Xenopus tropicalis: one gene and its partner. The protein of the gene in region 1 purifies or fractionates together with the protein of each later gene. This does not show direct contact. Links are inferred from orthologs where the notes say so. Each region holds a gene or a part of one and is shown on either strand. Other genes may lie near its edges. The genes, in order: hdac5 and prkd1.

The links.
Region 2: the proteins of hdac5 (region 1) and prkd1 purify together in Homo sapiens (affinity purification with western blotting; 4 studies listed by BioGRID, with this or other methods). This does not show direct contact. The link is inferred for Xenopus tropicalis from reciprocal best matches to the Homo sapiens genes HDAC5 and PRKD1.

What each region holds. Positions count from the first base shown.
Region 1 is NC_030686.2:18,407,353-18,411,177, forward strand, and holds part of hdac5 (histone deacetylase 5), read right to left. Parts: intron 3,275-3,825; coding exon 3,130-3,274; intron 2,995-3,129; coding exon 2,883-2,994; intron 2,464-2,882; coding exon 2,333-2,463; intron 2,206-2,332; coding exon 2,074-2,205; intron 1,849-2,073; coding exon 1,736-1,848; intron 1,402-1,735; coding exon 1,288-1,401; intron 1,152-1,287; coding exon 971-1,151; intron 712-970; coding exon 521-711; intron 1-520. UniProt on the Homo sapiens protein: Responsible for the deacetylation of lysine residues on the N-terminal part of the core histones (H2A, H2B, H3 and H4).
Region 2 is NC_030684.2:112,871,929-112,874,480, reverse strand, and holds part of prkd1 (serine/threonine-protein kinase D1), read left to right. Parts: intron 1-261; coding exon 262-529; intron 530-1,668; coding exon 1,669-1,754; intron 1,755-2,552.

The DNA of each region.
Region 1 (3,825 bases):
CTGGGTTAGGAACACTTTAGATAAGCTTACAAAAAGTTTGGGGATGGGAATACATTAGGAGAAGCTTTTATAGAGCTCCACGTTGAGGACACAGTAGAAGAAGCTTGCAGAGAGTTTGGAGATGGAGGTAGAGAACAAGAGCTTTTAGAGAGCTCCACATTGAGAACATAGATGAAGAAGTCAGCATAAAGTTTGGGGACAGGGGTAAAGATTAAGAAGCTTTGAGAAGCTTTTAGAGAGCTCCACATTGGGGACAAAGAAAAAGAAGCTTGCAGAGAGTTTGGGGATAGGAGTAGAGAACAAAAGCTTTTAGAGAGCTCCACATTGAGGAAACAGTAGAAGAAGCTTGCAGAGAATTTGGGGATGGGAATACAGAACAAGAAGCTTTTAGAGAACTCCACGTTTAAGACACAGGGCAGGAATATTGTGGAATAATGGCACTATATCAAGCTTATGTAGAGTTCTGGAGCAATGGCATAGTTGCACAGTTAAGCTAAGGTCCTGAGTGGTCTATACAAACCTTGTTGAGGTGTTGCTGGTCCAAGTAATGCTGGTGTTGCAGAACCAGTTGTTGAAGCGCCTGAGGACTTTGCGGGAGAGGAGAGGACTGTGTACGACTTAGGGGACGATGCCTTGTGCCTTTGGTGACAGAGCGTAGGGAACCAGAGACTCGGTCTCCCCCTACTAAGGGGGACTGACCATGAAGAGGGACTGCAACAAAGAATAACTAATAGTAATGAAAAATAATTTGACTGACGAAGGAAAGTCTAAATATTATTTGATTCCATAAGACGGAAGGAAAGCAAGTTAGGAAACTTGAGGAAATAAGTCAGGTTATAATAAGATGGGTGAATGAAGAAAAGAAAATGTAACCGGGTGTCATGAAAAGAGAGAGAATTTAAGGATAGAAAAACTAAAGGAGAAAAATGAAACCTTGAAAGGAAAAGGGAAAAGAAAAGCAGATATTCACCTGTTATGAGAGCGCTCTGCTGTCTAGCCTGCTCTAGTAAGAGAACATGCTGTAGGAGAGAAGGTGCCGTCAGGGTACTTATCTCACCCCCATCCAGGGCAGGCAGTGGAGAGGTGTTAATGAAGGGACCACCTGGGCGCAGACTCTGACGCTCTGCCCCTTCCTGGGGGCTAAACTGACCCTGAGGAGAGAACCTTAGAAGTAGTAAAGGTCAAGTCATCATGCCTGGAAATGATACATTTCTAAAAACCCTCTGTAAATGTGCAAAGGTTTTCTCAGACTGTAAACATTACTTCCATTTCAGTCTGGCTACTCACAGTTAGGCTGCTGGTGCTCCCCTGCAGGCAGATGTTGGGCAGTGATGGAGAAGTATACAACCCGAGAGGTCCACCCGCTCCTTCCAGAGCCAGAACTCTCTGCTGAGGAAGCATCTAAAGAATTTAGAGTACAATATTGTCACTGGTTAAGTAGTGACCACTGCAACACAAAACAATTTTCACCCACCATGTTCAGAAGCCCTTGTACTATTTAAACTATCCAGTCATTTGACCCTTCTCACCTCTTCCAGCTTCCATGCTGGTCTGGACTGGTAGTCAAAATAGGCCCTGGCATTCTATGTACACAGAAGCCCTAACAGCCCCCCACCAGTCCACTTTCTATTGCATATTACAGCAGCTCCTCTGGCATTTGCCAGAAGCCACAGATTGCCAGTCCGGGCCTTCCATGCACATCTTTCCCACAACTTTTACCCTAGGCCTCCCTTACCTCGCTGGCAATATTAGGCACGCTGCCAGTCAGTCCATTCTCACATATGGCACTGTTGGAGCTGTTTGGCGAGCTCGGCCCAGATCCTGGGGCACTATTGCACACCGAAGACACTGCGGGAGGAGCACCAACATCTCAGCGATGAGACTTGGGTTTCAGGGGAACAGGAAAAAAAGCAATGGAGTGCAGTAGAACTAAAGTGACTGTATGAGCAGTATGGGGTGAGGAATGCAATATATAAAGGATAAGTAGAGGCAAATATGTGGGTGCAGGTAGAAGGAATTCAGCAAAGAGTAGCAGTAAAGAGTTGCTTAAAGATTGTATCAGTTCCAGCATACCCTGGATTTCAATGGCTCTTTTCTTAAAAGCACTGATAACAGTTCCATCCTTTCTTCGAAGCAGAGGACTACTCCGACGTTCTGCAACTTTCTGCTTTAATCGGGATCGGACCTTAAGATTAGGTTCCGAGGCTGCAGGAAAACATAATAAGATTTTGAATAACATCCTACACATAAACCTTAGCCTCAAACTCTTCACTGATCATTCTCCCTCAGTTTCTCTGGTGCCCAGTATAAAACCCAAGTTGGATATACTAACCAGTTTTGCGGAGAGGAAAGTCATCACGTCCATCGCAGGTTGCAAGGAGGGATACCTTATAGGATGGGGGAGTTGCTGGTGACCCAGACTGAGGAGGGGAACTATGGTCCAGTGAGGTATGGTGCGTGCCCCTATGACAAAAGAATGGGACACTGATATGCCATGAGAAAACAGATGAGAGGCCATAAGGTAAATGAACATTTGGTACATATAAAATAGTGAAATACAGTTATAATGGGGTAATGCTACATGTTAAATACAGCAAGAAGGCACAGAGTTGCAAAGATTAGAGCAAGATACTAAGGGAAAGGGAGGAGGAGAGGGTGAGAACATATTAAGTAACAAAATCCAAGGAAAGGAGAGATGAAGATGTAGAGTAGACTGCAGGTACTTGAGGTGACAGTGCAAGTAAAGATGAGAATTAGATGGAAAGAGAAGTAGAAAATAAAGATGGGAAGAGCACTTAAGAAAGCAGCGAATACCATGTAGTATGAAGGAGGAATAAAGCAGGTTTCAGGAGTGCAAGAAACCTCTTCTAGTTCTCACTTACCAGCACTTGGGGTGCTGTAGGATGGAATGGTTCACATTTCCAGGTACCTCCTTGGACTTACTGAGCAAAAATTCCTGTAGCTTTAGTTTCACCTCTGTGCTGGCAATAGCACCTAACAAAAACCAGAGATTACACACTAGTAAAGGATTAAGCACCATGTCTCTAAATAAGATGAATGTTCTGCAGCTTCTGATCATATTGCCTTGCCCCCTAGCTTAATTGTATCCCCTTTCCTTAATCCTCTTACTTTCTTTGCTCTTCTCCTTGTTCCTCAGAATCAGAAGCTGCTGCTCCAGTCGCTGTTTTTCAGCCTCTTCCTGCCTCTGCCTTTCACGCTTTCTCTGCTGTTCCAACTCTTGCTGTCTCTTAGCGGCCATGATCTCCTGCTGTTGCTGCAAAAATTCAAAAAGACTGGGGTGAATGCTGGAGCAGTGATCTCCAACCAGTGGCTCGGGGGCAACCACTCCCTTTGATGTTGCTCCCAATGGCCTTAAAGTAGGTGCACAGAGACATAGTTTTACTCCAAGCAGAGCCTCCTGCAGGCCAGCAGTCCACATGGGGCTACCAAATAGCCAATCACAGTCCTTATTTAGCATCACCAAAGAACTTATATCATGCTTGTGTGGCTCACTAACACTTTTCATATTTAAAGGAACAGTAACACCAAGAAATGAAAGTAATTGAAATATAACGTACTGTGGCCCTGCACTGGTAAAACTGGGGTGTTTGCTTCAGGAACACTACTATAGTTTATATAAATAAGCTGCTGTGTAGCCATGGGGGCAGCCATTGAAGCTGGAAAAAAGGAGAAAAGGCACAGGTTACATAGCAGATAACAGATAAGACACCATTGTATTCTACAGGGTTTAACTGTTAGCTGCTATATAACCTGTGCCTTTTCTTCTTTTGAATGGCTGCCCCCATGGCTACACACCAGGGTTTA
Region 2 (2,552 bases), on another chromosome or scaffold:
ATGGCGTCTGCACTGATAGCTAGGGCCAGTCTAGAGAAAGAAGGATTTTTAACTTACCGGAAAATCCTTTTCTAGACGGCCCGTACTGTCAGTGCAGTAAGCCCCAGCTTATAGGGAGGGGGTGGAGCCGAGAAGTTTCTTTTTTCTTCTGTCCTGCCTCCGGAAGGGAATACTTAACCCCATGGTGTCTGCACTGACAGTACGGGCCGTCTAGAAAAGGATTTTCCGGTAAGTTAAAAATCCTTCTTTATTTTCCTTTAGGTGAAGCTTTGTGATTTTGGCTTTGCTCGTATTATTGGAGAGAAGTCTTTTAGGCGTTCTGTTGTAGGCACACCAGCCTATCTGGCTCCCGAAGTGCTGAGAAACCGTGGCTACAACCGCTCACTGGACATGTGGTCTGTGGGGGTCATTATTTATGTCAGCCTGAGTGGAACTTTCCCTTTTAATGAGGATGAAGACATTCATGACCAGATCCAGAATGCTGCCTTTATGTACCCTCCAAACCCATGGAAAGAAATCTCTCCTGATGGTAAGGTTATTTGAATGCATAAATGTCATGTTTAGTTGATGGAGTTAGATGGAGATAAAGCAAGGATGAGAACTGGTTATAGTGAAGACATTCTGAGGCCTTAATAGAACTAGGACAAGAGAAAAAAGTTATTAAAAATACACTCCTCCAAAAAACAAGAGACTTTGTTTAAATTTATTATGGTTCACTTAGGCCCACTGGCAAAGAGACTCCTGTCACCTCTTGGGTTGTAAGCCATACACTGGCATAACTGGTAACAGGCTGATTTAGTCCAAATGTAGCAAACAAAAAAAAATTCACAGCTGCACTCACCTCAGGCAATTTTCTGTGGTGCAAAGTCTCCAAGACGTATGGCAGCGCCCCAACAATGTATAGAACAAAGCAGAAATAGAGACTGCTCTCAAACAAAATTTCAGCTGGGGAGCTTACCCCATTTATTATGCCAATGTACCACAAAAAAACAATGTTTCGGGCGGCACTGTCTGCCTTCGTCAGGATAACCACACAGTGAAAAAACAAAGCTTAAATAGTAATAAAACCCCACCCCTAATCAGTAGGTGAGCGATGGACAGGATAATTAAGCACCACCAATCCTATTCAGGAACACATTGTTTGTGGAAAAGTCCAGCACAAAAACATTGTGTTTTAGTGAACATTTATTTCAAATTTAGTCCCAAACCATCCAAATGCGTGTTTTCTTTTAGTGGATTAAAGGCCTTGTTGACCTTTAAATTAACTTTTAGTATAATGTAGAGAGTGCTATTCTTAGACTATTTGCAATTGGTCTTCATTTTTTATTATTAAGCTTTTAGTTTAGCAGTAGATGTGCCAGAGATAGGAGGTTTTGCAGGAAAGCAGTAATGAGTGCACCTTTCCTGTATGGTATCTTTTGTGGGGAAATGCCGCATTTATGTTGTCAGGGCAACTTATGTGTCTGAGAGCACTGAGGTTAACTGACAGATATTATCTCTGAATATGTCAGTGCTGTTTTAGAGATTTTTTCCTCATGTTTATGACAGTCTCAGCATGTCTCAGAGGAAAATCTCCATCTAAGTGGGTTCATAATAATCATTGTGTGGTTTAAAAAAAAATCTCATAAATGCTTTTTAAACATTTTTTGTTTATTTTTTAAATTTTAGCTATCGATCTGATTAACAACCTGCTGCAGGTTAAAATGAGGAAACGTTATAGTGTTGACAAGACTCTTAACCATCCCTGGTTACAGGTAAGCACCACATCAAAGAACACATTGAGGTCTACTATATGGTTTACCTATGGGTCTCTTAGCCATAACACAAGCCAGCTGTGCCATAACTATCTTTTTTCTGTTAAATGGACATTAGTTAATGTGAAAAAGATATTATACTGCCCACTACTGGAAAGAAAGGGGCTCAGAAGGCAAAAGGGGGCAGGAAGGGTGGGCTCAAAAGCAAAAGGGAGCAGAGGTTCATACTAGCCAGTAAAAGAACTGATGTTCAGCTGCTTGTAAAAGAGAAACAAAATAAATCTGCATGCAGGGAGAAAGGTATGTTATTCTGAGGGTTATACAGAGTTAGTTTAGGGACTCAAAAAAAATATGGTTTAAAGGTAAAGTAAGCCTTTAATTTTTTAAGTTAATTTTATTTTTGTAGAGTTTTTCGTATCCATTCTACTAAATTCCAAATCCCTCGGACAGGGATGCAAACTAAAAGCAGGTAAAATATTTTCCCAAAAAGCAAAAGGTGAATGATTAAACACATATACCAGGTGGTCAGGAGGCTGGATTATAAATGGATATTGGACCTAAAAAGAATGTAAACCCAAATAAAAAAATCTGCCTAATGAAAGTAAATGTTATTTTAGCAATTTACCATATTCATAAATTCTAGAATCTGTTGCTTTTCTATGATGTTTTTGACCTTTAGGGCAGTGACACACGGGGAGATTAGTCGCCTTTCAAGGCAACTTCGGCACTTTGGCAAATCGCAGCGCCGGTTATGCCATTCCACCGACCCGTCATCCCAGCGATTTACATTCTAACCGG